Linked DNA regions of Alligator mississippiensis. The protein of the gene in region 2 interacts with the protein of the main gene of each other region in a pairwise test. Links are inferred from orthologs where the notes say so. Each region holds a gene or a part of one and is shown on either strand. Other genes may lie near its edges. The genes, in order: PDCD10 and C2H4orf19.

Region 1 (16,085 bases), on a different chromosome or scaffold from region 2:
CTTTCATATCAAGACAAATAATGTATGTTACTCATCTCAACTCAGGGCAGAGGGTCGGACTTGACGATCTAAAAGGTCCCTTCTGACCCTAAAATCCACGAATCTATGAATCCCTTAGTTTCAAGCATCATGTTTTCCAATGTCAAAATAGAGCATTACACCATAAACTGGGGAACATACCTCATTGAAGACAGGATACATAACAGCATAGAGTGGCATGGAAACCATAGAAGTAGTCTCTGCTTCATTCTTCATCTCTTCCATTGTCATCCTCATTCAAAGACCCACTTCTCAGGAGAAATGCTATAAGAGCAAAAAACTCCACATTCACTAAAGTGTTTCTTCTTTTTCCTCGTTGTGTAAGAATATTTAAAGAACTGGAAACTTGTTACCCTAAGGGGAAAAGAGAAAACATTATAAATGCCAATCTACTCCCACAATTTCTAAATAATAGATTACAACAAGAGATTTCAAATAGTAGATTTACTACTAGGTGGTAACTGTGAGGAGTGATTTGCTCACAAAAAATTCTTAAATTCCTTGCATTTCTAGCTAATGATGATGTTAAAAAGCAAGTAATTTTAGCTCATACAGGAATATTTTGATAAGTCAGACATCACTGAAAAGGTATTCACACACTAGCTTGACATTTTGTAAAACTATTAAAGAAAAGGTGATTTAACATTACCTTAGGAGGTCACATAAGTGCTGATTTTTGGGGACAGGCATTACATCTACTAGTAACTACTGTTTTTACTCTCTTACTTATTGATAATGTCCACAAAATGAACAAGCATGTCAAGTAGAATAGTGGACTTTGTAATGAGAGTAAATGCCACTAGATTAAGGGTATCCATTTAATTAATCAGTGAACAGTCATATATTGTCCAGGCATTACTACTTAGACCATATTTAGCCCATGATTTAGAAGCTAAAAAATGTATCATAGACATTTATGATTTCCTTCCCATCCAGCATTTTTTTAAACAATGGAATAACTATAAATGTTAGAATAATTCAGAAGCACAAGCATTCATGAGGTGAGAGATGGGTAGGAGTTAAAAAGATATGCAATGCCCTAGTCTCATCATGATAATATAAAGTACAGTACATTAGTCACACAGATCACTATTCCCCCCCAGCAGATATGCATACATTGGCCAGATAGTTTAGATATTGATTAGAACAAATAGAAAACTTAGAGTGTATTTAAAGAGAAATATAGCATGATGAGATGCATGCACATTGTAATTTCCTCCTTTTGGAGGTGGAAAACAAAAACTTATGTAGTAGTTTATGGTGAGACGCAAGGTAGATAATGCTTCCTTACAAACATACACCTGCAGGTTTAGAAAGCAACCAGGCTCAAATATCAGGCTCAAAATGAACAAATATGATCTTGAAAAGAAGGCTCAACATCCCAATTACAGATTGAATTATGGTCATCTTGGAGAGCCAATGTGAAAAGACTATCAGATGTTATCACTCAACAGAAATTGTTATTAGAAAATGTACTGGTCTTTACCTACAACTAAGTCAAGGACAACAGTTAAATCTTAATACGAAAAACTATCATTCCTTGTTGGGGAGTGGCGAGGGAAGAAGTTGAGCATATGTAAGTCTTATACAAATTGTTCTTTTAACCAGTCTTATGTCGCCTGATCATCAGCCATATCACTGCAATTCACTTTACTCATTTTCAAATAATGAAAAGAAACAAGTTTTTGAGGAAAGGATTTGTTATAAATTGTATAAAGCACTTTGTTTGCATGACTTATAGCAGGGGTGGCTAATCTGGGGCACCGGGGCCACAGTCTTTGGGCATGACACATGGTAGACCAAGGAGGGGAACAAAAAGCAAAGCAGCAGATCAGGCAGGGAGGATAACGAAGAAAGCAGAGCAAATGATCAGGCAAGGGAAGGCAGAGTGGCATTTGCTGCAGGGGGCGGGGAAGGAGGCACAGGACTAATTTGTGGCCTGCCTGCCAAAAAAAGGTTGACCACCACTGACTTACACTACAACTCACTGTCTTAACTAGAAGTTGACATCTTTGTCCTGTAAGGCAGGGGTTTTCTTTTTTAGTTTAAGGGGGTAGTGCGTGGCCAGATGCTGAGAGAGAGAGAGAGAGTGTGTGTGTGTGTGGGGGGGGGGGGGAATAGCGCGCGGCTGGACACAGAGCAGGGAGGCAGGGACAGTGCACAGATGGGTGGGGACAGAGCACCACTACCTCCCAGGACCAGGGCCAGGCTGGGATGAGGAAATTCTTCTCCAGGCTGGGGTGAGGGCAGCAGTGCCCCTCTGCAGGGGTGGGGAAGCTCACTGGGCTGGGGTGTGGCAGTGGCAGCAGCTGCTGCGTGTGAGCTTCCTGCTCCTGGGAGGCAGCGACACTCTGTCCCCACCCACCCATGCATACCCCTTAGGACTGGTCCAAGTACCTCCAGGGGTATGCATATCTCCAGTTGACAACCCCTGCTGCAAGGCAACACCTTGTGTGATCGGTAGACAGTACAAGGCAAACTTGCATATTATTAGTGCCTGAATAAGCTGGTCGAGGCATAAGAAAAGAAAAGATGATGTACTTAGTGCTCTTAACTTCTCACATGACTTAGCAATTGAGGGGAGGAAAAAGACAAGCAAAAGATGGCAGCTTTAACACTGCCTAAGGCACAAGGAGGTTTGCCAGACGCAGTTTACATGAAAGCCACTTCTCCTTACACTTCATAGAAATGAATGTTTCTAGTCAAGCAGGAGGAGTAGGTTCAGTCCATTTTACGGATCAAGACCTTCAGCTGACAGCCATAGCAATCCATGAAGTGGACTGAGGAACTGAAACACAAACTTAATGTTTGCTTTGTGGACCATACCTTAGTTTAGGGTCTCTGCATTGTTTCCACATTCAGCATAGTCTAAATACCACTGTACCTATTATGTTCATTTTGCGTTAAAGTCCCTTTCTTTTATATGTAATTAAAGGGCTACCTTTAATCTACAAATGCTACATACTCTGCAGACCACAAGCTACTCTTCCTGCTTGACTAGAAGCATTCATTTGCATAAAAAGCGTAAGGAGAGGTGGCTTTCACGTAAACTGTGCCTGGCAATCTTCCTTGTGCCTTAGGCAGTGTTAAAGCTGCCATCTTTTGCTTGTCCTTTTCCTCCCCTTAATTGCTAAGTCATGTGAGAAGTTAAGAGGCACTAAGTATACCATCTTTTCTTATGCCTCTGCCAGCTTATTCAGGCACTAGTAATATGCAAGTTTGCCTTGTACTGTACACATGGATCCATCAGAATTAGATACAATACATCCACTAGAATGCAGCTTCATGTGTTGCTCGTATTTGGAACAATGCAGATCCCAAAACCCAGAATGCAACCAAAAAAACTAGAAGACAAGGAACTTTGAGTTCATGGGAGTTTGGATAAGGAACAAGTTTCCAAACATTAATTGTAATCCAGACCGTGGCCATTTTTAAAGTTTAGTGTCCTTCTTCTTTGACAGAGGCCTTTTCACCATAATCACAATGACATTTTGTTACCTTAGCTTTCCTAAGGAAAAACAGGCACATTCCTAACAGCTTCCTGTTACCCAAAAAAAAAAGAGAACAACCTGAGAACCTGTCTTCCCATATAGTTTCCCATACCAGTCTAACAGAAGACATGCCCATATGCACTGGTAACAAGCATCAGTACACATTCTAAAATAGAGGCAGTCAGAACAAGAAGTGCAAACAAGGTAATTATAGTGCCAAGAGCACTGTGAAACATGAGACATTGTCTCTGCTCTGAAGAGTTTTGCTAAAGTCAGCTCTTCAGTCCATCATTTGGTGGTGGTGAAAGCATATTGCCTCAAGTACACATGAAAGAAGAAAAAAAAAGGGGAAAACACACAAGCTCTTGTAATTTTTGTCCCACCTTTGTAATTTTTCTTTCCAAAAAAGGGAACTGAAGGAAAGGTGCAGCTTTCTACCATATTTTTTAATGATGCACAAGACAAGGAATACATGAAGCAACTGTGGTATTCTACTATAGCTCATGATAATGGAAATGATACAGGTTAAAGTGTCTACTCTGCCAACAAAGGGTGTTAATTACAGGGTAGGAAAGACCTATATACCTATTAAAGGAAACATTGTTAGTTAAGCGTTTGATTTTCAGAATACATAAACTAACACTGTACTTAGGAATTTAAAAAAGTAATATTAGAGTACTATATGAATACACCTCTTTGTACTAAGTGCCTGAAAGGTGTTAGGAAAGCAGTTGTCACAACTTCAGTTACTCCTGTACTTGTACCCTAATTATAATAAAATCATAATGGTTAGTATTTGTATAACTAGTAAGAGCTGAATGGATTTTAATCACGACTGCAATGAACAATTTTCTTAAACGTGCTTCTAGTTAAAATTTAAGTTAAGAACTGAAATAGTCATACTTAGGAGTTGGTGACCTCCGAAGCCTCAAATGAACTTAAGTGTCAGGACTAAAGAAACGAAATCAGTTTCTCTGTCATGCAAAAAATCTACATATGCTTATACCTGAATCTGGAGAGCTTGTAAAAACTGAGCCATTCCTTTAAAGTATCACTATTTGTACACCCTGGGAAGACTCACCTCCCTTGTTCACAATACTAGTTTTAAAGCTCAAACTCATTCACACACACATGCATCATATGATAAACCTCCACAAAAATACCTATCCTGATCTGTAGAGGGATTTGCCAAAAGTGAAGGGGGTGGGAGGGAAGAGAATCAGAAATAAAACTAGATTTTGTACACTCTCAAATGAGAAAGTAGCTTACACTGACACATTAGAAATCAAATTCTAAAAAACTTATTTGCCAAATGTCAGCCTTTATTCTGCTGCTCCATCCCCAAGATCCTGCATAACAAGCACTATTACAACATGCCCCCAAAGATCAATAAAGTCCAGCTATTCAGACTACAGGAGTCAAAGGAAAGATCCAAAGTGTCTGATTTCACTAAAAAGTGTGCTACTCCAATTTCTGTTTCTTCATATTGATGGGATCCCTGCCAAACACATACTACAGCAGCCCCTTAAAATGTTTGGCTTGCAGGATCTTAAGCTCCACCCAGACTCCAAGAAGCATTAGGCACAGGTAACAAGTCCCTAATGTGAAGTGTTCCCTGTAAGATATACCACTTACGACCATGCTGCTGCATCCTGTGCCAGTTAACTATGCTCAGTAATCTGAAAGCATAGTCCCATGAAGAGTTCACTTTAGCAGCCTAATCTTAAAAGCTACAAAGGTATGGATTACAGTAGCAAGATCTCTATCCAAAAGAGGCAGTAAATCTCCACAGCTAAGAGAAGATTTTAAAAGTCTGTCTAGACACAGCTGCTTACAAGTTAAGACCATCTTTGAGTTGCAAGATTTACTAATAGACAGAATATAAAAAGTCCTCAATTAGAGAGAAAATCCTAATCCCTAAACTATCTTCAGGATACTTCTCCAAATTATCAGTTACAGCAGTAGCTGAATTAATTGAAATTCTGCAGCTTGCTTTCATCCATGCCTGAAGATTTAGGGTAAGCATTAGAAATGTAGAACTGTCTGTCATTATCATACTGAAAATACCACAAACTCAAAAATCTTCCCAATGGTCAGATATGCCCAATGACCAAAGTGTGTATGTGTGGGGGAGGGCGGGGGGGACTGAAAAAAAACACACACACAGGTACTCAGTCTTTATCACCAATAAGCAATCTAGCTATAACACTAGTGCAATCTCCATCCCATGCTCAAGTGCCAACTGTCATGGATCAAGGAGAGCAGAATTACTTTGGCAGTCAACTGTGACACCACAACTTTCTCTATATCATTAGCCAATAGTGGAAAAATAGATACTGTATATGATTTACCAGATTTACAACAATAAAGAACTGGTTTCTGAGCAGAAGCTCCATAACAGTTGTCTCAGAGAAGCCACCACTATCACTAAAGGAGGTGCTGATAATCTAACAATGTAATATTCCCTACTTTCCCTGAAAGGAGGCTGTATTGAAAAAAAAACTCCAAGATCTCTAGCGCAGTGGTAAGGATGAGGCCTAAACTCCACCAGGAAAAATTAGTATTCATTATGTAGGATCCCATTTTGCGTTCATGGAGGTAGACAACTTAGAATTTAACAGATGCAGGCCACCTCCAGACTAATACAAGTTTCTGAACAGAAAGCAGTTGACAGTCACTTGTATACGTGGCAACGTTTGTGACTATGAAAAACAGCAAAATGTGGTTAGCTTTCATCATATGCCACTTCTATATAAAACTCACAACGTAATGTAAGATTATAACGCAGACAACTTGTCAGCGGTACGTGTTAATAGATTTATTATAATTACTTTACATGACAAAAAATTGCTGGTACTTAAGGTTGTATTGTTTTAAATTGGTGGTGCGCAATGTGTCAGAGTTCGGGAAGCGCTACATTACACTATTAGGCCCTTGTTCCTTATGGAAAACTAACTCAGGCACCTGTGCTACATTTGAGTAATGCACTGCAACTTATGGCCCACCTATACCCGTTTGTTTTTAGGACAAAATGTACTAATATTCCACCTACCACCACATACCTTAGATTTTTGTTTATTTTCTTTTTTTTAAATCAATTTTAGTTCAAAAGCCATTTCACCACTGGGGAAAGATACAAGGTATGCATAAAATAAAAATCCTGCTGCTAAAACAGATAAAACGTGGTATCTGCTCCTTTGCTACCACTTAAGAGACTTTGTCTCACCAATTAAGAAAACAGCCACCTTGAGTCTTTCAGGTCCCAGGGACAAGTGCAAAGTGGTACCTAAATATAATTTCTTGTCTTCGTCCAATGACCTTCCTCAGCACTCTGGAGGGCCTGCAGAAGACTTCCTGCTCTCACCTTGCTCCAAGGTACTTCATCCAGATGGATACTTGAACTAGATTAGATACTTGGGGTGGATAACGCAAGTTCTACCTGTGGTTACTGAAACTATAAGCAAAAATTCGAGGAAACGCACAGAAGAAAACATCACCCTTTCACGTGCCCCTCTAAAGGGAGTTATGATCAGATGCAAGAACTTGGTGTTACGAACCTAGAAGCTGGAGTTCAAATACGATTCCACCCAAAACATAATTTTGCATTCTTCTGACTGCCATGGCAACTGACAATACTCATTGACCTTCCCATAATGATAGTGGTCTTTTTCCACTAGTGTACAATAGTGGGAACCAAACTTTAGCAGGCATGCCACAAGGAAAGCCCCACACCCACCATAAGTGCCACTCCAACCTCCTTCCCCTGCCTGATCTGCTACAGTGCTTCCTGCTCCCCGCCCTATCACAATGTTCCCTGCTCCCTCCCCGATCTGCTGCATGCCATACAGAGGCTCCCTCAGCCACAGCTTGGCCACCCCTGATCTACAAGATGACTTCAAACACCCTTCAAACCATTTGTCAACAATGAATCATATAAGAAAAAGGAAGGGATACAAATCACTATGATCAGGCTGATTAGATTTTTGTTTAGCATTAAAAAAAAAAAAACACCAGACCACCCACTTAAGTTAACATTAGAGGAATTTACTACTACTGCAAAAACATAATGAACTTGGCCAGTCTAGACAGGTAGAGGTTAAGGGAAAAAATAAAAAAGCCACATGGTCTTGGTTGTATGGATTACACTTTCCCTTACTTAACATTGAAAGTAGCTTAAAAAAAAAAAAAAAGTAGCAAAAAAATTACTGATTCAAGTTTAGCTTTCCCAAAAGCTTTTCTTAACTACACTGCTACTTGCACAGCCTGTGAAATGGTATATTCATATAGAAAGATGAAAACAAGCAACTCTACTCCTATAAAAACATGACTGTCCATGCACATACATTTAGTTATTTTGTATATGGCTGGGTGCCACTACTTCAGAAGCTAAACTAAGAGGTCACAGGGGAAAAAAAGCCACTTGGGAGAACGCTCAAGCCACCCACTTTTCTAAATCCGAATCCATTTTGAACCTCATGAGTTTTGCAAGTCACTCCTCCCGAGTCAGAAACCCCTCACCCTACACGCAGTCAGGGATTCAGCCCTTTTCCACCCTACCTCATTACTACGCCTAGCGAGGATGCAAGACGCCAGAACCTGCCCTCTGGGGCTGGGCTCCGATTTCTTACATCAGACAAATTGAAGAGCTGCCTACCCGTGAAGTAGCCAGGATCACAACCCCAGCAACTAGACTGCTTGCCAGGCAAACCCCCTCGTGACAGCGCCCCCCAGTTTCTCTGCCAAGTCTATTTTGGTCGGCGGCCTCCTCAGGCCTCTTGAGATTCACTCCGGGCCCCTCCTGCACCCCAAGCTGGGGCTGGTATGTGAGCGGAGCCTCCCGGCAGCGACCCCGGGGCTCGGCACCTCTCTGCGGGAGGACGGGGCTCAGTCAGCCCGCACAAGGAGCTGCACCCGGGGGCGCCCCAGCCCGGCTGACACCGGAAGGGCAGGTCCGCCGCCCTCGCTCCGGGCCCGGCCTGCGGGAGGTGCCGCACCAACAAAGGAGGGGTTTTCGCTTTCCCCTTCCCCCACACCCCTCCCGCTGAGGGAACCCGGGCCCAGTGTGAGCGGGACGGGAACGGGGACGGGCGCGGGCACCTCCGCAGCACCCGCCCCGCCCCCACCCTTCAACCGGGCCCCGATTCTCCAAGGAGTTTTACGCCCCAAGAGCAGCGTAACCTCGGCGGAGCCGCCAGGCCCTACGCAAACACCGCAGCGACCCCAGCGGGCCCGGGGAAAAGAGAGGAGAGGGCGGGGGACAAAGCACCGGCGCGCCCCCACGTCCCGTACCTTACCTCCCCCCGCCCCTCCGAGCCTTCCCAGCTGTAGCGCGGGCCCCGCCGCCGCGCCGGAAGTGCCTGCCGAGTAGGAAGCGGCGGCCGCGGTTACCACACACCAGGCGTTGCCCGGAACTCGCCGGGTACCGCGCGGGCTCCTGGGAACTGTAGTGACGCGCCACGGGACTACATATCCCATCATGCCGCGCGCGCGGCAGGGCGGGGGAAGGAGGAGGAGGAAAGGGGCGGGGCTGGAAGAGAAGGCGGAGAAGGAGCGACCAATGGGCGCGAGGGCCCTGAGAAGGGGGCGTGGCCCCGAGAGGGGCTGGGGAGGCGTGAGGCAAGGCAGGCGTTGGCGGACGCAGTCGAATCAGCCCCTAAGGCGGTCCGCGAGTCGCGGCCAGCGCGCAGCGAGCCACCAGAGCCGAGCCGCCGCGGAGCCGCGCGCAGCCCAGCCCAGCCTCTCCGCTCCGCTCCGGGTGAGTGAGTGAGGGAGTGCATGTGTCCCACGCCGTTCCGCGATGCTCATTATTATTATTATTATTATTATTATTAATTTGTAGCGCTTCTCCAATTTGGGGGTTGTTTGCCCTAATTAAGTATGTATGTATTTATTTATTTATTTTGGCACCTTTCCCCCCCCACCCTTGCAAAGCTTTAGCCTGAAGGCGTTATTCAAAAGTGCCCCTCGGGCTCTCCTGGAGCAGTGGAGATCCACACCCACCTCCCCCTGCCCGAGCCCGGGGGGAGAAACAAGCCCCTGCCTCTGGGTCCAACGCAGCTTATTCCTCGCCCCTGCGCTGAGCAACGCGCCCGAGCCCTCCTGTTAAAATGTGATTTGTCTTCCCAGCCTAATAATCCGGTTTTGCAGAAGCTCTTTCCACACTCCTGGTCGCTGTTTAAGATCTCGGTCTTGTTTTTCTGTTCCCCCGCCTCATTGTGATTTGTAATCCAGCGCCTTGTTTGACAGCGGTTGGGGCTGCGTTAGCATCTGCCCTAGAAAATCCATTGTAACGATTCAAGAAGTTTTAAAAACTGCGGGAAGTCAAAGGGGTGTCTCTGAAAGGCAGCTCTTTCATGTGTAAGGTGCAGCAGGGGAAAGGGAGCAGGAACATCTCTCCGGGAAGCCGGCGAGGTTATTGTTGAACAGACGTAATAAAATATCAGTTCCGAGACTTGTGCCGTTTTCCTTCTTCAATTTGAAAGCGTGTGACAGCATCCCATTAAAGTGTCTTTCTCATTTATTATATGCTGTAGGTTGTATCGTGTGGTTCGCTAAACCGTGTGACACGCAATATTTGAAATCAGCCTCGTTGAAAGTTTCACATCTTGACAGCTTAATAAAATGAATCTCTGACAACATATATTTCTAAGCCTACTTATATGATAATTCCCCCCCCGGGGCTTAAAAAAAACCGGAGAAAAACTAAGTTTTATTTCAGACCGCCTTTAGGAATAAAAATCAAGATACTCTAATAATTGTGTACAGCTCATTGAGCTCTTTAAATACAAGACTCCGTTAACTTAAAAATATTATTACTACTTTAAGTTCATCAAGCTGCAGACAGTGGTACTGTGTCTTATCTACAAAGAGCAAATTAGGCTTTATTGTAGGAAAGCTTTAGAACTTGAAGCTTTAAATAGTATCTAAAATCAAGAAATGCTTTTTTAATAAATTGGATTTCAGAATCCATTGCATCTCTTTGATTTTAATTACATAAATGTAAAAACAGAAAGTTTAAAAATGTACTGTATATTGTATGATACCTAATATATTAACACTTCCTATGTGTTCGGAGACGCATGCATGAGAGATGCCACCAGCTGAATGAATAGGTAAATGATTAAGCTTATCAACCAGTGGTTATCATTTTCTCACAAAGAGTATCATAATACAAAGCCATATATACCTTTGTGGCACCTGGCTCTGTAGTGTGGGAACAGAAACCCCAAATATAGGCGACAGCAATACAATGTGGAACTGTTCATCACATGTAACGACATTAGTAATTTAATGCAAAAGAAGGCAAGAACGCTCGGGAAGACATCTGGAATGTTGTGCTCCATTGGAAAAATATGTATTTCATTCCTCTTTCTTTTGTCTTAATCTATTCTTGTGTGATTCATCAGATACCCAATAATGCACATCCCTTGTTATCTGTGGAGAACACTTAGAATTTGTGTAATGTTCGTAAATTTTAATGCATGTCACTAATTGCTGTTGGCTTTGCTTCTTGAGGACTTTTGGTTGAATAATCTTCGCATACTCTGCAGCTGAATCTGGTAAAGAATTAAGCTACTATCATTGAATAAAAGTGTGTGCATGTCCCCTCTTCTGTGAAACAATCCATAAAATGGGTTGGGGTAGATTTATGTTATATCAAAATATTATTAAATAGCTGACATCTCCCCCAAATTCTTTAACCCTGAATGTAGCTTCCTCATACTGGAGTCTTTAGTTACAGCTTAATACATATTTTCTTCCTTTATTTCATCCTGCTTTTTCAAAACTGGTTTATGTTGGTTGTGTTGGTTTTAGGGGGAAGTGGGGAATTTTTTTTAATTTACTACAAATAACAGTCTTTAATTACTTTATAGTGCAAATCTTAAAATATAGTTAAGGCACACTAGATGTATGCTTTCATAGTGTAAGTCAAAGCATTGATAGGTGTTTGATAATATAAGGCACAGCAACTTCTACTTCGTTCTTGTGGAACTGCATAAAAGAAGCAAATTTTGAGGTAAATGTTTGGAGAGCTTCATTCAAACTGGCCCAATTTAAGAAGTGACAGCTCATAGTTGATTGAATGACAGCCATGTGATTTGAGCCTTGCCCGCTCCCCACGCACACACGCTTTTCCTCTCCTCCTTCCCACTAAGGAAATGAGAGATGACCCGACTGGTAATTTTTGCTTCCTTTTTTTTTACAGAGTCAGGTCTTACCTCTACCAGCATCCTAGCTCTAAAATAAATGTAATGGTGAGGGCAAGTGAAAAGTATGGCTTGTTCAGGCTCAGTAAACTGCAAGTGAGAGTTGTAGTCTTTGCCCTTCCTCCCCCTTCCTCTATTTTCAGTGTTAATGATAGTGGGTAAAACCAGAACATAAGAACTATCCATGCTAAACATCCATCTCACCCAGTCCCTTGTCTCCCATAGTGGCAAACAGTGGATGCTTTAGAGCAGTGATTGTTAAGCAGATGACATTCAATACCAACAAATGTAAGGTGCTCTAGCTTGGGGGGGGAAACCCTGCAGCACGCTTATAGGCTTGGCAGTACTATGCTCGCTAGCACCGTGGCGGAAAGAGAGTTGGGAGTCATGAATGACCACAAAATGAACATGAGCCATCAATGCGATGTCACAGCTGGTAAAGCAAACAAAACCCTGGCTTGCATCCATAGATGCTTCTCGAGTAAATCTCAGGATGTCATCCACCCGCTGTACTTGGCCTTGGTGAGGCCGCAGCTGGAATACTGCATCCAATTCTGGGCTCCACATTTCAAGAAGGATGTGGAGAAGCTTGAGAGAGTCCAGAGGAGAGTCACGTGAATGATCAGAGGACAATAGAACAGGCCTTTTGAAGAAAGGCTGAGAGCCATGCGACTTTTCAGCCTTGAAAAGCACAGGCTCAGGGGTGACCTGGTGGCTGCCTATATGTACGTCAGGGGTGTGCATCAGGATCTAGGGGGAATGCCTGTTCACTAAAGTGCTCCAAGGGATGGCAAGGTCCAATGGTCATGAACTCCTCCAAGACCGTTTTAGGCTGGACATCAGGAAAAACCTCTTTACTGTCCAAGTCCCCAAGGCCTGGAATAGAGTCCCTCCAGAGGTGGAGGGAATCTATTCTGGACTCTTTTAAGAAATGTTTGGACGCTTATCTTGCTGAGATCCTTTGACCCTAGCTGACTTCCTGTCCCTTGCAGCCCTAGTATCTATGAAGCACCCTGGGGTGCCTTGAGATCCTTTCAAGTGTGCTACAATGTGCCATGGAACATTAGCACTGGTAGGTGTGTAAGCAAGATTCACAAGAGAAACCAAGAGATTTCAGATAGGAATTCATAGTTTTAAAACAATTCTGACCTGTTGTCTGAGTCTTTTTGAGCTCTTTGCAACAGAAGTGCTCTATTATTTTTCTGTAGTCAAAACATGAGTGAAAATTAAGAGCTGGCTTTTTCTGAGAGATGCTTTTAATCTAATGAGGGTGCCTGGGGGTTGAGAACTGCTGGTTTAGAGAGAGAGTATGAGAAACTGGGAATGTGCCCAGTCAGACCCTCTCAGTTCTTAAAAATGGTATGAAGAGGAGCAAAATTACAAATCTGACTCAAGGTGGCTTTTAAGCCATTGGTTCCACAAATCAAGGCAGAGTCCAAAATTTTCTATAAAATGAAGCTGGTTTTAGCGGTCTTATTCTCATTTCACTCTTACATAAGCCCAGTAATGTCTCCCTTGAAGCCTGTGGAGGTACACTAACAATGGGAAGAAAAAATCAATTGGTGTTAATGATAGCTTTTCCAGTTAATTTGTCAGGCTTCAATAAGTAAGATCTGCACTTTATTACTATGAAGTAGCAAATATATCAAGTGCACAGGTTTTGAATGCTTCATGTAACACTGGAGGCAGGAAGGGAAACCCCAGACCTTTTATTTGGAGGGAAGATATTTTATATCTTACCTTTTGGCCATATTTCTAAACTGATGTTCAAAATCTGTCTTTGATCATCCAAGGGATATGTTTCAATACACATTATAGATAAATGGAAATATAGACATGCAAGCTTTTGTTAAAAAAAAATATATACATGTTTTGCAAGGTGAAATCAGAGCATAGTGTAATCTATTTTCACTTCTGTTAAGATCAATTTGGGGAAGTCTGATTGTGTAATGGCTGAACAGTAAGAAGGGAGGAAATGCTCTTTCATATGAAACTAAGTTAGTTGTGGAAGTTTTGTCCAATAATCTCTTGTATTCTAATTTTTGTGCCCACAAATGTTATGAGTAAGCAAGGAGACATTTTAAATTGTGTTACAATCTTCACGTGGCTTCTTCAGAGAGAGCATGGTACACAGGCAGTTAAAACACTTATCTCAGGAGACCAAGGATGTCTGTGGTAGAGGTGGGATCAGAACCCATTTTTATATCTTGACCACAAGATGATTCTGGACTCCAGTGAGCCCATCCGTATCTCCATATACACTTGTGGATTGAGGTTAAGTCATTCATCCTGTTTTGTGAATGCTTTGTCCATTTTCACAAATGGACAAATGGACCTGCCGAGGCATACATGATGTTGGAAAACAGCCCATCTGCTCTCATGAAGCCCATGTCATTTATTGTTCCTATGACTGTTGTCAACATTTTACTTAACAGAATGCTCCTTTCCTGAACAAATATTTTCCTGTAGGACTGTCATGCAAGAACTAATGCCAGAAAATGTTTCTCTGTGCCAAGTGCCTGTTCTAAGGATCTTAGCCTCCTCCTACCCTGTTGGAGTTCATCGCTTTTCAGTCGGACCTTCCATTGCCACCCTGTCGTGGTTACAAATACACGTGCTCACCAACTGTAGCATTGTGCCACAGATGTTAGAGACAAGATGTTTATTGTAATGCCTTTATTTTCAAATCAGTAGTAGTAAAATGTATTGAAAATTAGTGTCTAGTCTTACTTAGGTTTATTTTAGCTATTTAATTATTTAACTCCTTCAGCCTTTCCTTCTTGATTTAATTTTGATGGGCTTGGGAAATTTTACCAATACTTTGCTTACCTATTTTATTTGTAGCATCGCAGCTATTTTGTTTCTGAGCAACCAAAGTACTATAGAAAATTTGAAATTTTGAGAAGAAATTGCTCCTCATTTGTATACAGCCTCTGGCATATTTGAAGACATTTGTTGCAAAAAAGGAGCATTTGATAATCCATGTACTTTATAGACAGTGTATACTGGGTTACTTCATAATAGCACACTTGGAGGATAAAATTTACCTTGTGCCTGTCTTAACAGGTTAGGAGATCTTCATCTCCAAAGTCCAGACCTTGATGTACACGGAAATAAATCTGACACAGTATCTAAGTGTGTATCTTTATTTAGATAATGAAAAATCTATTTGAGAATTCTTGTTTTATTTTATATGGTGAAAAAAATATTGAGCAACCACCTTGCTACTTGAACACCATCCATCCTCTGCACTGAATCAGGCAAGAGCGTTGTTAGAAAAATAAGGTGAGATCACAAAATTAAAGCTGGGATAAAATTCCCTGGTGAGGGGCAAATTAAGATAAAACTAAGAGCTAATATTTCAGTGTTTGACTTTGCAACCTTAATGCTTTGTTTTTCAACATAAAAAAATCACATGAGCAAGAAAAATAGGAGGTTTGGGGTTTTTTTGTGGTGTGGGTTTTTCTAATAGACAAAAGCAAAACTATTTTAATAAATACTAGTAGCAATAAATGTAACATTTTATATCCTGTAGGAATGAACATTTAAAAGAACAAATATAAAATGGTAGAGATGTAATTTACCAGCCACACCAATTGCATTAAGGGGTTTGTTGAACTGCTTCTGTACTGTAAATATAGTAAGTAGCCAAGCACTTTGGCTCAAACAGGGAAAATTTGGAAATAAGAATATACATTTTTTTGGAAGAAAGTTCTCCCAAAGAATTTCAAGCATACCTAGGGAGTAACACAAACTATTTTAAAAATACAAAAGGGCTGTATTAGTATTGCTGTAGGAAACACAACTCAAACTTTCAAAGAAGTCCGGATATAAAGGAGGAATGCTTTTTCTTTAATTTTTCAGACACCAAGTTCTACCTCCTAACATGGTCATCTGATATTATACTAACTATAAATCCAGCTAATAAGATAGCCCATACAACTTGTACTCCAATGACTGACTTATTCTTGCTGTGCTCTAATCAATAAACCAGTGCTATGTTGCAGTGCCTTAAAAGCACAAGCTTCATTTTGTCTCTGTTGGATTAGAGTCTGTCTTGCACACAAACACACAGTCTTTTTAACCTCCACTTATGTTCCTTACTGGGTTCTAGGCTATATCAAAGCAGTCACTCGTAACAAAAGTTGTCTGGTTACTTCGCATTCAAAGTAGCCAGTCATAGTACATGGCAAAATGGCCATTACCTGTTGTCACAGGGCTACGCAATAGCTGTGCTGTTCTTATGTGCCTGTTTTCAAAACACTGGCTATATACAGACAGTCATTTCCACCAGAAGGTATTTCTAATGTTCGAAATATAACCTGGGTACAGACATCCTCCTGCCCTA
Region 2 (16,085 bases):
AATGCGAGGAATAAATTAGAACACATTTCTTCCTTAGTTCTTTGTCTTTTGGCTGTGATGTGAACATTTTGCAGGAGGAGAAGCTAGTAAAGGTGCAGGAAGCAGAGTATAATTGCATATCCCAGGGGAATTGGGAGTGGGGGGATTTACTTTATTAAGAAAGTAAACACTCATAAAACACTTTGGGTATGTAGACAGGCATGGTTCTTTGGGTATATGTGATATCTTTTATTAGACTAACTAAATAGCTGGGAAAAAGTTATTTGCAAGCTTTTGGGCACAAACACCTTTCTTCAGGCATTAGAAGCCTGCACTAGAGACAACTGTTGTTAACATCATGATATAGAAAACAGTAAAATTGCCTAATACTGTGTATGAAGTCCTCCAAGGAAAGGTTCCACAACATAAAAGCTTCCATAACAACTCCATCAGATGTATTATTTTTCTTCTAGTCTACTTGTCTTTTTGGCTCAGTCTCTGGGGTACATTTTTTATATAGTATTTAAATCAATGTGTAAAGCATTGATCTGTAGTAGTTTATAGTATCTGTGAACTTTCCCAATTGACTGTTTAAAGCAATTTTCTTGGCAGGCATTGACTGATGAGGACTGAGTAAGAGAATTATTGGTCACAATGACAAAGAGAGTAAGAATAAGAGGTTTTTATGTTGCAATTAGAGTAATTATTCCTTAAGTATGAAGGCAAATCTATAGTCTTAACCATTATTAAAAACAATCCACAAGTGGCTAAGGTATTGTAATGGTAAGATGGCAGTGAAATACAGGTACATTTCTGTTATTGAATTGTAATGTACTTGATTTCTTATCTTGATTATATTTACAGTCTTTTTTTAGTCTCAAATTGGAACAATGCTTAAAAGCTATAGAAAAATATTTGTTCCTTTAAGATACTTGGTGATGTCTGAATTGAAGCCAGCTAGCTAATCCATTTTTACTTCCACAGAAGAATGGGTTGTTTTCACTACAGTTATCAACCAAAATTGCACAGTTCAGTATGACATAGGGGACTCTGATTATAGTGAAGTAGCTTGTGATACTGTATACTAGTAAATATTGTGCTGACATTTCCCTTTGCTCAAAATGTTTCATACCTTAGCTGTAAATAATGTAGTTCAGGTTGCTTTTTGATATGGCATATTCCCAGTGCCTGGAAGTACTATTTATTGGCAACAGCAGTGCCCCCTTTCAGGATAAGAACGCTGTTGAAACTGAACTGAAATTTCTTTTCGTACAAAGATACAGTTTAGTCTGGAGGCTGCAGCACTGGTCTGGCATTTAGGAAATCTGGGCTTTTTTTCCTGGTTCTGCTACAGGTATGCTGAGTGACCTTGGGAAAGTTCCTTCAATTCTCTTTGCCTTAGTTTTTAAAATTTTTTTCCATGTAGATAATTATACTTAGCTCCTCAGTAAAGTTCTCTCAGATCTACAGATAGAAAAGGTCTGTATCAGAGGGATTATTCACATGGAGCATTTGGGATTTGGGGATTTGGACCATCACCTTAGAGCAGGGGGCCGTAATGTTTTCTGGTGGGGGGAAGGGTAGGGGCTGGAATGACTCAACTTAGGTCTGAGGCATCTGGGCATTAAAACCAGCTGCCACCACTGCTTTTCCCCACCATCCAGCTATGGTGTGGTGAAAGACCATGCTGCCCAAAAGGGGTGCAGAGTAAGCAGAGTCACCCTCCACTGAAGCCTAGGGCAGCCAACTGTGGTACAGTACATGGAGAATCCCCCCATTGCCAAATGCTCCTGAACCCATGGCTCAGCAGGCTGGATCTGGCCTATTGGCCATAGGTAGCTGACCCTGCCTCAGAGCACTGGTGCCAAACCTTCCAACACTGCAGGTTGGATGAGTGGCATGGGGTCAGTCTGGACTGGATCTTGTGTGGTGTTATTGAGTAGGGTCAGTCCATAGGTGTGATCCTGCATGCCTACATCCAGCCATGGAGTAACCTTGTTTGCTGGCTCAATTGCCAGCCAATGCAATCTAGCATGGAAGGTCACATTATTTATCTTAAAGGACTCCCCACAGGTCTGGAAATTTAGCAGCAGGGGAGTGGCAATTACAACTGCTATCACTCCACCCCCAAATTTCTGGATCCTTGGGGAGCCTCTCCCCCCTCCCCCCTGCCAGCTGGATGGACACAGCTCTGCAGGCTGGATCTTTGGGGGTTGAGCACCACTGCCTTAGAGGATCTTATACCTTTACATCAAAGACTCACTGCTTTTTAGGTTGGGAAATTTTGAACCAAAAAGTAAAATAAGATAAAACTTCTAGTTAAAATGCTGAAGACATGAAAACTGTTTTGTTTTTTTCAATAAAACATATTCATGTTTTTGGGATACTTAAATTGCCATGCTCTGGGTTTAGACCATCTGAGTTTAGAGTAAGCCTGGACTGTGCATATACTCTAATCTGATAAAGTGAATGCAGCACAACTGCAGCAGTGCTGGTGAAATGCTTTGCTCTGTTATATGTTGATTTGCCCTGTGCTTGTCAAAACAGGTTATACACATAAGCAGGGAAATTATACTATGTATACATTAAAATTATTTCTGATTCAGTGGACATTTATTAATTTACTGTGTAACTTTTGAATTAATACTTAAAGCTAGGTTAACACAAATCTGATTAGTTGGTGCTAGGTCTCACTCTGCACCGTAAATTTAGAAATGCTCACTCACTGCAATCCAAATGCAAATTGAAAAGTTGGATGGACACCAAAAGAGAAGAATATTTGTCTGGACTATGATTTAGGAAAAAAAAAAAGAGAATGAAAAATTAAAAACCTATTTTATTATTAAATGATAAACAAGACATAATAAAACCTGTGACTTCTAAAGTCATCTACTTATGAGCCTAAATATTTTTTTCAGAATTGCTGAACTCTTTATAGTTCCTAATAAATTACCTGATTTTTAGAAATGAGCTTTTGTGCCTCTTGTTGAGGTTGGTGTAAATTTTGTCCTTAACCTCATTGGGAGCAGTATCAGATTCAAAGACACCTAGTTTAACAATTACATTTGTTTGACAATTCTGTGCTTAAATCATACAACAAACAGATTTAATCTATCAGGGTTGCTGTTCTTTTGTATGCATATTCTTTGCCAAACTATTGGAATTGCACTTGCCTTTTCTAACATTTATTAGTAAATAAGGACCAACCCTCTAGCAATCTGATTTTGTTCAGTGCAGTGAAAAGTGTTTCCAAATGTTTTGAATTCAAAATAATTCAAGAACATAAATTTCATGTGACTTTCTTCTGCCTTAGGGCTCTCTGCTTGGGGTTGATAGTTTAGCTTTTGCTTCACTTGAAATGCAAATGAGAATCTTGCAGTATTTTGTTCTCTAAACTTCTTTGCCTATGAATCAATGGCTGGAATTTCACTGTATATCTTACATGCCCAGATGTTGCCTGTTCACTCCTAGCCTGCTGTTTAGTAGACAACTTGGAAGTCCAGAGCTGATATCAATTCATGAGACATCTGCTAAATTTACATGAGAAATGATAATACAAAACAAACACACACAGTAGAGCTACACAGCAGGTAAATATTGTTTTTTCCATGCCCCACCCAGAGCAGGAAAACCTGCATAAAGGACATAAACAAAGGCTTCTTCAGTTTATTGATAACACAGTAACCTCTTTTTCCACTGAGTTATAAAGGTGCAGGGCATTCATTTTGCTTCAAAAGCCTGAAATCTGCAGGGTCTCATACTGATCTCAGTATATCAGTTGAGTAGCTCCTTTGAAATCAGTGGACTTAAAGGTGTATGAGTGAGATCACAATCAGGTTCATATTCAGTTCCCAGATGACAGAGGAGTAGGAGCTGATAGTATTTTCTCTTGGGAAAGAAACTGCACTACATACATGGAAGCACTGATTTGCTAGGAAGCACAAAAGGTGTAAAGATAGCAGATGTATGTTGGTACATCTGTACTGAATTCAACCCTGATGCTAGAAAACTGCATTACAGTTAGGCTGCCCACAGCATCCCCCCGGGCAAAAAGCACTGTGCTGGTGAATGCAGCTGCAGGATGAGAAATGCCATGAAAGTGTGTTGGCAGTCCAAAATGAATATGTGTATGGGATCATAGTTGATTCTCTGTCCCCATATTCATGCAGAGAGCTCAGGCATTTACAGGAGGACAACGTAATGTAGCTCCAAAGATACTGCTGGAGAAGTGATGCAGCAGTATGCCTCTCAGGGTGAACAGTCATCCTCACAGCAGCAGATACTATGTCATTAAATGAGAGAATGGGCTGTCACAGGGGCCAGTACCTAGGGCCTGTTTGTGGATGATGACTGTGACAGTCTGATGGTTTAGCAATCACTCATCAAAGCAACTAAGGATCCCATCAGTGAGTACAGTGGGGATCAACAGTTTACCAAAGAATGGTGTCATCCCTTATAAAAATATCACCTGTCCCTTTTGAGTATTTTCCAACAATGGCGAAACAAGATTGGATGGCAAAAGAAAGGGGGGATACAATGAGTCCACAGGGTGATGCTCAAGTCTTGGGGTGAAAGTGTATGTAACACCATGTTTTCTACGCTAGCTCTTTTATTTTCATCCTCATTTTGTTAAGCAATTACATCAGAATACTCCATATAGATGTATGGTGTTAGGCTGTATCCTGTTTCTATGGAAGTCCCTGGCAAAAATATCTTAGACAGGATTTCAGTAGACAAAATAGACTGAATAGGAATACTCTGCACTGGTCCGAACCTGCAGAGAGCAAACCAGGAAAGCCAAAGCTGCAACGGAACTAGCTACAAATATCAAGGACAATAAAAAGTCCTTTTTTAGATATGTGGGGAGCCAGAGGTAAAGCAAGGGCAACACTGGACTCACTCAGGGAGTGAGTGTGGCGGTGACAGCAGGCAGACCCAGCTGCTAGTGGGGGTAGACAGACGACTAACCCTCCTCCCTGCCCGCCTCTGCCTCAGGGTCCATGGTGCCCTGTTGCTGCAGCAGCAAGGGGGGAGCGCCCAGCAGACCTGGCTCAGGTCCCTGTTGGTGGCACAGGGAGGGGGAAATTAAATGCCTCTCTGGCTAGACCCCCGATCCTGCCTGTTTGTGCTCTGGCTGGGGAACAGGAGGGCGGAGCCAGCCTGGCTGGGCTGGAGCAGAGTCTAGCCCAGAAAGCATTTTGGGATGCTGGGGGACTCTGGTTTAACTTAAACCAGGAAGGGGTCTGGGACAGACATTGCATAAACTGTTTTGAGCCAAATCAGTTAAGCATGATACTACATTCAACTGGGTTTATCTCAAACCAGTTTGGGCCATTTTGAAACTGGTTTATGTGCACTGAATGTTCTGTTAGTTTTAAACCAGTTTCTGAACACTTATACCGGCTTGTTTGTAAATTCTGTTCCTAGCCTTAGGGTCTCGTTCTGTCACTACAAGATTTGACAGGCAAACTTAGAAGTTAGTAGGAGTTAGTTGATTGTTATGGTTAGGAATTGGACCTATTTATGTGCCATAAGCTAACTTAGACTAGTCTAAGGCCATTTACAGATGTTAAATTAAGGGCTCAATGATATCTGATATGTGATCCCAACAATTGCACTTCTGCCATGCCAGTTAATCGCATCTTAAGTTGCCATACTCAGTCAAAATCCAGCTCAATTTTTAGAGAATGGAAATTATTCCAAAGTGGGGAATGATATTAAAGAACAGAGTTTGGGGAGTTCTATATTTTCAATTTTCCTTCTGAATCACCAGATGAGGTTGCATGTGAATTTACAATGGAGCATGGAACTATAAAAAGTCTTTATCACCAGAAAGCATTTGTGGCTCTACATTGGACATTTATGACTTGAATAAGGAATGGGGAGTTAAATAAGCTGCTGGATAAAAACTGAAGGAGAAAAAAGGTCAGATAAAAAGAGAAACTCTTTGGATTTTGTCTGTCTGCTTTCTATTGTTACTGCAAAAGAAGTATTTAGTTCATACTTCCTCAGGCAATATGATCGGTACAGAACAAAATATAAATTTCATCACACATCTAAATGAGAGCTATTAACTGGAACCATGGAGAGATTGTTACTATCTGTAGTAACCTCATGACATTTTTTCTTCATCCTTCCTTCAATTCTCTCTTTTAGCTATTTAGACATAGACCTTAGAGCAATAAAAACACGTAATGATTCATGTTTCAATCCTGTTCTCTCTGATTCTTTCTCCTGCTTTCCAGTATTTGAGTTCTATGGTATAGTAACAATTAACCACTCTCAGTTTACTGGCACTGCCTGCTGCTATACACAGTACTATTGGGCTGTATTCTCATTAATTCTCCTAAACTGACCAGGTCACTGCTGGTTTGAAGAAAACTTTTTTGCTGCTTGATGGGGTGCTCATAATTCAGAAAGTAGGGCTCCTTTGCTTGTCAGTCAGTATTGAATCAACACTCCTGGATGGGATTACATGGCACTGTGCTGCTGGAGAACCCATTTGTTTAGATGAAAAGTTTAAAGACTGCGGGGGGCACAGCCAATCTCAGGGGGTGTGCATGCACCCCCTACATGTTGCCAATGCCCCCTCTGAGTGAGCTATTTTTAGCCCTCTTTCCCCCCTCCCCCCCCCATCACTCCTAACCAGCAAATTGCCCTGTGAACATGCTACCCGCCCTTCATTCTACCAACCTCCCCACCCCCTGGACCCACAACCCTCCCTGCAACCTGCCTGCCCTTCCTCCTACCCTGAGTTACTAACACCAGGCTTCTACATGGCTCCCAGGAGCAGTGAATGCCTGCGCACACTACTCCTGGAACTGCACATGCTTGTTTGCAGTCTAGGTGTAGATGGCTAAAAGTAAAGTGAAGTAAAGGTGCAGCAAACACTTGCTCACACCCTAAAAGCATGGCCACAGAACGGTAAAGGGATTTTGCTTCATTTCTACAATCAAGATGTAGTATTGCTGTTGATTTGTGCTGAAGGTTACCCTCTGTCAGTCCAACTGTAAGTAAATATCTAACTGTTTGGTCCAGGTAGTCAGAGATGACTGGAATACTAGCCACTTTGCTTCCTTGTTTGTCTCTGGCAGTGGAAGTTGGAGTGTCTTAACTACACTAGCCCAATGGGCCTTCTAGGCCCATAACTGACTGACATTTATAATAATGCTGTTCCCTGATAACTCTATTACTGTAAAAACAAGACAGAAAAAATATTGTTTTAACTATTTGAGGGTCACATTGATTATGTGTCTGTCTGTTAGACCCTTCTTTAGAGTTTGTCCATGTTTCATTAATTTCCAAGAATTTTTCTCTGCCTTTGAACCAGAAGGAAGTATTTGGTCTATGTGCATCTACCAGGGCAGCCCCATGAGTCACCTCTGCAGCTGACTCCATGTTGACATTACTAAGCATGAAGTTAAATGGGAGTATGTCATAATCAAAATGCAATAATCAAAGCAATGCTGATTACCGTAAGTATTGTTAAATTACTGGTATAAGGAACAGCGGAACCTCTAACAAGGAAGCCAGGTGTTTATATATCATTTCTATTGGGTTCTTAGAAATTAATGTGATTGTTGTATTTTTTCTCAATCCAAGTTCAGGCTCTTTCTTTTTAAAAGTAAAGTTCTGTATGTTTTATGACTGAGGCCATGGAAAACCTATATTGAATATCCAGTGCAAATATTTAATACAATACCTCTCAAACTCGCTAAGAACATTTTACGTAATTAAACATGTAGCAGATTTAACTACTGAGCTGCTAAATATTGGTTTTCCATGACCCACCCAATCTGTACAAACATTACTTAAAATGCAAGAGTCATAATATACTGCGGTTGGTATTTAAAGATGCAGTACTCCTTTTCCATTCCATTTACAGTGGGATGGCTGCCAGTCTTAGAGTTGGTACATTCCCCTCCCATGGATCATGGACTATGCACTTTGTATTATATGAAAAGTTTTCTGCAGTGATCTTAAGAACTTTGGTTCAAATTCTATTCTTACCTATCATAGTATATATTTAAAGTATTTCCTCTGAAACTAATGGTCCTACTCTAGTTTTACATCAAAGAAGTTGTCAACAAAACCTGACCTACTGTGACTGATGTACTTATATTATTTGAAGTTCCCATCTTTTGTTCTGTGTTTGTATGGGGCCTAGAACAATGGGCTCTTGGCTTATGACTGGGGCTTCTTGTTACTGTGATTATACTACTGCTAACAGTAGGTAGCACAGCAGTAACACAAAAATAAGCACATTCTCAGATGCTAGATGAGATGCACAGCTGAATGCTTCTTTCTTCCGATGGGGCTGATAGTAATCTAATTCATAAATATTTTAGATATTCATCTAATTTAAAATTTTCTGAAATCTGTGCAGCTGTGCCCATTCATACCATTTAGGATCTGGCTCAAGATAACATCCTGGCTGTTATAAGGTAATGTTCACAGAATGATATTTGAATAAACATATACTGCTACTTTAAGGTAACCAGAATTTCATTTAGATAATTATCATGCCAACTCATACCCAAACCAAACCAAAGGCTCCTGTATTTTGGTACTGACAGCTAAAAAAAATTATTTTATTCTTCACAAACAAATCTCTGCAAAATTGCTGGTTGCACTGGTGTTTTTCGAATATTTATGTGAAAGCAACAAATCCTATAATTTGGCTGATCTTATCTGGAAATATTGAAATGCATGTTATTAAGTAAGACAGCTATTTGATGACAAAAATCGATTTCCACTTTCTTTTCTTTTTTTTTTTTTCAGTTCTACATACTTAATTGATTCTAAGTCCATTGCAGGCAGCAGGAGCCTTGAGGGGAGTCTGAAGTTCGGGGTCTACTCATGAAGTCTTGCTTGGGTATAGGACTACAGGAGCAGACATATGGGAGTAGTGGGGGTCCTCAAAGTCCCTGGTCTGCAAATCAGCCCATCCTTCTTGAAAAGTGAATATACCTTCAGACTGATAAGTCTTCATTGCCCTATTTTCATTCTAAACAGTAATTTTGTGTGCTGATCAACCACATTGGAACAGTGTTAATATGTGAATATAGGATAGTGCACAGCAACTGCCTTGAGTCATAGCTTTAACAAGTATCTCCGAGTAAGCTTCTCAAACTGAATACTCATTACCCTGACAATCTGGGCAGCGAAGCAGCTGCACTGTGCTTCTGAGGGCTTAATACAGGATGCAGAGTGGGAATGCCTGGCTGGCTGAACTCCATTCCTGCCTTTGCCCCAGAGTTGTGTTGTAGATTTATGGTAGTTGCTTCTAGCCAGAATTTAAGAGTGGACCCTATTTTGACAAGTTTTCTGGAAATCCAACAACACATTCTGGGACTGATTTTTCTTCTGCCTTTTTGAATACTAGGCCTAGGGTATCTCAAATTAGAAATCCATAAATTGAAGCAAGTTCAAGCTTATGTCCACTTCTGAAAATGCAGTTGATAAGCTTGAGGGGGCTTAAAGATTCCTCATGTATTAAATGTGGGTAACGGTAGTTTTCTTTGGACAGCGCTTTGACAGCTGGCTGAAGAGCACAATTAAGTGTGACACATTATTATTATCTTCTGCTTCTCTCTCTTAATAGTAGTTAGGACAAGAAAATATATTTATACAATAAATTGAAGAAAGGGCCTTCCCAGCAACCATCCTCTCTTCCTCAGAAGGATAGCATTTAGAGAAAATCAACATTGCTGCTTGTTGCTTTAAGTAGGAGAAATTCCCAATGGGGCAATCTTTTGATAAACTAGAGGGAGAGTTGTCAAACAAGTCTGGGTACTACATTCCTGCAAAGGGAATACAATGGTGAGTTGATAGTGCCTTGTCTAAAACAATTATGTTGTTGGAAGAAAAAAATAAAGTGTGGAAAGAGGTCTTCATATGGGGAAGAGGTCTATTTGTTGCCTGACACAGTACATAGAAATTCTGCAGCAATAATGAGACCATGACCCCCCTGATACTACTAAGGTAAGTGGTACCTTATGCCATTTTATGTGTTGCTGAATATGGCTTGATACAAAAATATATACCTGACTTCCCAGATTTTAATAAGAGTTGTGGTCTTAACTGTTCCCCCACGCCCATCATTTCTATATTTTGTTCCTTTTTTTGAATTTTGAGGTTTCCAACTTCACCTGCGTTGTATTTAACTTGCAAGTTTTTGAGGAATTAACCAGATTTTTAGGAGATGGGAATTGGGAAACTGGAATCATGGGAAACCAGATCCATTAAAATACATATTCACTGAAATGATATATGCAATTCATAGCATAAAAAAGTCAGAAATGCTTAGACTCCTTTTTTCAGGCACAAGGAATGTATCAACTTTTTTTTTTCTTACAACCACCCACTTGCCCCCGACCAAAAACCCAACGTGAATGGTTTAGCAACAAGGATAACTAAAATTAATCTTAGCTTTAGGTGGTCAGACTTTTTTTTTAATTAAATCAATCTGCTCCGCTGTGCTTTACCACTAAGTGGACTGTAAATGTTTTTATTCAGAAAACATAGTGCCTCTGCAACAGGTGCAACATTAAAGAAGGAGTTCAAATGTTTTCCAGCTGAAACTATTAGAAAGATTAATCTAAAAACTAAAAGATCAAAAACCTGGTAAACACTTTATCTTGAAAATATAGTTAACATCAGGAATGTAGACAAACATAAAGGAATAAGAACTTTTCCTACCTGAGACTTTTGGGTTGGTCAGGAAGTGCAGCTCTTCTGATTAAAATCTTCCATGCCTTAGCTTGGCTTCTGCATTTGAATGTTAAATATGTAAGAATGCCTTGTTTATCTGAGAGTTTGCATGACCTCTTAATGAGACACTGTTGTTAGTGTCATTGGGTATTAAGGTATCATGTGACTGTAGATGAAAATAAAATCCTTTAAAGTTTGCATTTAAAACTTCCTAGAATCTGTAACCCTTTACCTGCAAGCTGGAAAAAAACTTGACAAACCTCTTTGTTTTCTGGTCAGGGTAAAAAAACAAAGAAAAGAAAAGAAAATGTACCAAATGATTCCTTTGCTGAAACAGGCACTTAAAGAAAGCAATTCCAAGCCAGCTGATGTAATAGTATTGCAATTCTATATTGTATATTTAAAATTCCCCCCAAGTCAGAAATTGGGCCGAACAAAGTTGCTAAAAATTCTGTTTCTCTGTTCAGGTACTTTGGCCTAGTACTTAAGTGTAGACTGGTGTGCTAGGTGGTGCTACTCAGAGGACTTGCATCTAAAATAAGTACTTACAGGTATGATATCAGGGCTGTCCATAAAAGTTACTGACTTTCCTAGAACTACTGTCTTCCGGGTGAGGTATTTTCAAATGTGGTATGAAAGGAGAGCCCTCACTCACCCCTCTCCAACTGGGAGGGAGTGCCAGACCAGAGATTTTCAGAGATACCTGCTAGCAGCCAGTCAGATCAGTTTTCCCTATTCAGGTCCTATAATACTGCCCCTTGATGAACCTGGAGATTGTAAACTGAGTCTTGGGAAGAGCTGGCTGCATCAAACAATGCCATTCCCTTGTTTCATAGGTGTGTGTCCAAGACCTTGTATTTGTCTAATCCGACAAGATTCATATTAATATAAATAATAAGGAATATTCTAACTAATTATTTCTTTGTCTTTTAAATTTAAGGCTTATGACAATAAGGCTGATAATTCTAGGTATGGTCCTGGAAGACACGCTTCTGTGTTTTAGAATACATCTATAGCTACATGTAGCTGTATGTTGGATTACAGAACTCTGTGAACTCCCTAGTGATCTAGTACGTAGGTAAATTGTAGCCCTGTGAGAAAAGAATGGCAATCATACTAAAACACAAAGAGCTAAATTCTGCTTGTACAAGCAATCTACTGACTTCTGCTCAAGATTTGCTCCATCATGGTGTTTCTTGTGCTCAGTGGGATTATAAAGATTTAAGAACAAGAGTTGTTTCACTTGTGAGCCCAATAGACTGCATTTGTGAGCTCCGTTTGGAAAGGCAGTGGATAAAACAACTGCGCCACCTAGCATCAATTTTCCTTTCCATTGCTACATAATCAAAGCCTAGACCTATAAATAAACTAACAAAAAAAAAAATGCTTTGGATGTCCTTGACTTAAACAGAGGAAGTATGTTGTTCAGGGGCTGAACATAATTGAACTTTCAGACTCCCCAATTCAAAGAGCTTCTGTAGCAGATGTTCTTGACAGTTTTCCTTTTCCCTAGTCTTTAGTACTCCTGAAAATAGATTGCAAGAATGAGGAAGGTTTTAAATAATAATAAAAATTATTAAAAAGCTTACATTAAACTATCTAGGAGGATCTGACCTGGAGGCTCTGATAAAGAAGTGAAGAATCACTGGAGTTTGTCAGATAGCCAGTACCCACACCTGTTCTAACTCCTGTGACTATTTTACTATTGTGTTTTAGATAGACACTGGGTGCATTTACATGAAATGCTTTATGCACATTAGATTAATCTAATGCCCAATAAATCATCAGCTTTTACATGTGTACAGGACTTACTGAACATTAAATTAGGTTAATGCATCATTTGTTAGTCCCCAGTCCCCTCAGCCCTGCTGCTGCATGTGTAGCACACACCTTAGTCCAGGGGTAGGCAAAATGCAACCTGAGGGCCAGATGCGGCCTGCCAGGCCATTCTATCCAGCGCACAGGGCCCCTAAAACATTTAGAAAATTAATATTTATTTGCCCCTGGCTGCCTATCATGAGGCCCTTGATGGCTTGCCAAAACTCAGTAAGTGGCCCTCCGCCCAAAATAATTGCCTGCCCCTGCCCAAGGAAAATTGACTAGTCCCCTAGTCAGCTTCAACTCCCTGCCCATGCCTGCAGAGAGCTGGGAGCTGAGCAGCACCAGGACTGGGGGGAAGATGTGGGGTGGAAGCAGCACTGGGACTGGAGGGGAGACAAGGGGTGAGGTGGGAAATGCAGTGTTGGGGACTGGTGCTACTTTGCTGTGTCTCCCTTCTTTGACCCCATTTTCAGTGTTGCTTCCTCTCCACATATCCCCCCAAGTCCCAGCGCTGCTTCCCCCATGTGTCCCCCCATGGTTCAAGCACTGCTTACCTCCATGCTCGGGCACAGGGCATTGACCCAAGCCAGTGCCACATTGCCGGGCTGCAATCCTGAGCACTGCATGGCTGGGAGCTATTCCCCAATCCTGGACAGCTCCCCCCACTCTCTAGAGTTCAAGCCTGACCCCCCTGCTAGCCTGGTGCTGGCACCTGGGGAAGCCTGGAGCTCCTCCTGGCTGCTGCAGGGGGCAGAGCAGGGCAGAGGGATAGGGGTGGCTCTGGACTGAACTGCTCCCATTGGGAGCAAATTTGCTCCTGACAGATGTGCATGTATAGATGTGTACCTGGGAGAGTGCCTTAATGAGCCTGAATTTTCTTCTGATGGTGGCCATCACATGCTTCCCTGGCCTGGAGCAGAGCATGGTGGCAGCATGTGTTGGCTCTGTCACCACAGCCTTTGCCTGCTATCCATGGCTGCTGCACCCTCAGGCCCCAGGAGCAACATCCACTGCCCTGGGTTTTTGCTCACCACCATGCTCTCACCCTGTTCACCCGCCGCGGGGACTGCCACCTTGTGCAGGTCAGTCTCAGCCCTGGTGACCCTCACCCTGTGTGGCACAGCCACCTGGCCTGGCTCACTGTGCCATTCCAGGTGTCCTGTCCCCATGCTGCTGCTTCCTGGACCCCAGCAGGGATGCCACTGATGTGCTCCTGGATGCCACCACTGGGACTGTCCATGTGCTCATCCAGAACACCTGGGACAATGAGCAGTGGCTGGAGTCCCTTCACATGATCTGGGCCACCTTCCAAGGCCTCCTAGAGCATGTCTGCTTGTACTTGGTGTGGCAGGCCACCACCATATGGCAGCCCCTCCCTACGGACACCCAGCTGGCTGTCACCCTGTCTCTCCCCACAGTGCAATCTCAGCCTCTCCCCACAGTGCAGCAAAGTCTGTGGTCTCCTCCTGGGACCAGTTGCAGCCCCAGGAGGCAGTGTGTGCCACTGGGGATGATGCCAGCATGGCTCCCTTGATGGTTTGCAGGGCATCCATGTAGCAGTCCTGGTGCTGGTGGACCGTGGCAGGAACATGCAGTGCCCAGTGCACATGCATGGCATGGGACAGGCAGGCAGGTGGTGAGGGTGTGCTAGGCACTAGCGGCGGAGTCCAGGCAGGCTGCTGTGGCTGACCTGGAGCCAGCTGGAGTGGGACCTGGTGGCAAGAGGCTGGCTTCAGGTGGCCCAGGGTGATGCTGGGCCTGGAAGGTGCCTGCAGTCCCCAGCACAATGCAACGGCACAGGCCTGACAGCTGGGCAGTGAGGTGGTGCCAGGGAGTGGCACCAGGGTGTGGGCAGCCTGCTATGGCTGGCCTAGGGCCTCTGCAGTGACACTCAGTGGCCATAGGTTGGTTGCAGGTGGCCTAGGGCCCCAGTGTCCCTGCAGGCTTTTAAGGGCTAGGGGCTGAGGCAGGCAAAGAGCCACCCCAACTCTGAGGCTGGAGAAGCTCCCAGCCCCAGGGCCCTGGGAGTGCTGGGCTATAGGTGGCCCCCTAGTGGTGGGACTGGTCAGCAGCAAATTTGCTCCTGGTCAGTGTTTACACATGCATTACTGTGCAGTGACTAAGCATGAGTAAATTTGCTACTTGTATTTATAGGTGTGCGGGCCGACCGGGGGCGAGCTGGGGCCCATCTTTGCGCACGCGGGCTGTGGCCAGCAGCCAGGGCACGCGGGGCCGGAGAAGACCGCGGCGAGCTAGAATTGATTACGGACGCGTAGTGGTTGATTAAAAGATTGTTTACTTACACCAAAAGAAGTAGTGGTGTAGGCTGGATAGCTTTCCAGGCACAGCTCTGCTTGAATCCCCGTTGGAGGATTACGACAAGTCATCTCTTTTCCCCAGAGTTGTCAAGGCTCCATGGATTCAGTTCCCCCGGAGTTGTTAAGGCTCCGTGGGTTCGGTTCCCTCCGGAGTGGCTGAATCTCTGTGGGTTCGTACGGCACTAATCTTCCCCGGAGTTATTAAAGCTCTGTGGGCTTGGTTCGGTTCCCTCTACCACGGAGTTGTTAAGGCTCCGCGGATCTGAAAATTGGGTATATAGGATAGGGATACGTCTAGGACAGCGCTTGGCGACGGGGAGAGGCTAGAGGCTGATCAGACCTCTGTTGCCTGCTTAAGAGAGGTGCGTTGGGTCCGTAAGGGTCCACATCGCTTAGAAATCTTCACACAGCGTGAATTCTCCTCCTCCTGGTGAGTTTTCTGTCTCTCCAGGTTTCCTCTCTCTCCGGCTTGGGCGGAAACCACCCAAGCATTTGTACGGCTAGCAAGCCAATAGCTAGCCACCACGTGTACCTTTATTCAGAATTGGCCAATAATTTGGCGCGAACTCCCATACAAATGGCAGGAACTCCTTTACACCGTGCATCTCTGAGATGCAAAAGAAATGCACCCTGCAAAGAAGCTGCAAATTTGGCGGGAAATTCCCCGTTGCACCGGAGTTCTCTCCCGCAGCAGAGAACTCCGCCGTGCAAGGAAGCTGTAATTTTAGCGGGAACATAATTTAGCGTTGCCTAAGCACACACAAACAAAAACTCACAACTTTGGGTTGTGACAATAGGTAGCAAATTTACTCACAATTAGACCAAATTACTGTGCAGTAAACATCTGCACATGTAAACAGTGATGCTTACTGAGCAATAATTTGGTCTAATCAGAAGTAAAGCATCTGATGGAGATGTACTCACTGTGTATTAAGGTGCTATTTAGCTGCTTAGTTTGAGTAACTGCAGGTGGATCTGACTTTACACAAGAATTGGTTACTGTTTATTTAAACTCAAACCAAAGAGTCAGATTGTGGACCCTCTTGCCCACACTGATAATCACAGATGTGTGTTTTGCACTCTGATCCTTCATGCTCTCTTTTGTGTTCTTGTCTTTGTTTTAAACATCCATATTGTACACAACTGCCTTATTTTTAAAGCCTGTTATTATGGTTGAAAAGTCAAGCACACAAAAATTAGGATATGCCAGAAATAAGGTAACTGTGTAATCCTTTGGTTACCTTGTGCATAGAC

The links.
Region 1: the proteins of C2H4orf19 (region 2) and PDCD10 interact in binary tests that used the Homo sapiens proteins (3 or more experiments, as listed by UniProt). The two-hybrid records come from large-scale screens. The link is inferred for Alligator mississippiensis from reciprocal best matches to the Homo sapiens genes PGCKA1 and PDCD10.

The regions. Positions count from the first base shown.
Region 1 is NC_081830.1:73,252,526-73,268,610, forward strand, and holds the start of PDCD10 (programmed cell death protein 10), read right to left. Parts: upstream 8,916-16,085; 5' UTR 8,825-8,915; exon of another isoform or gene 8,820-8,824; intron 394-8,819; 5' UTR 277-393; coding exon 181-276; intron 1-180. UniProt on the Homo sapiens protein: Promotes cell proliferation. Modulates apoptotic pathways. Increases mitogen-activated protein kinase activity and STK26 activity. Important for cell migration, and for normal structure and assembly of the Golgi complex.
Region 2 is NC_081825.1:49,322,216-49,338,300, reverse strand, and holds the start of C2H4orf19 (uncharacterized protein C4orf19 homolog), read right to left. Parts: upstream 10,773-16,085; 5' UTR 10,681-10,772; intron 1-10,680. UniProt on the Homo sapiens protein: Acts as a tumor suppressor. Acts as a tumor suppressor for colorectal cancer cell proliferation by targeting KEAP1/USP17/ELK1/CDK6 axis.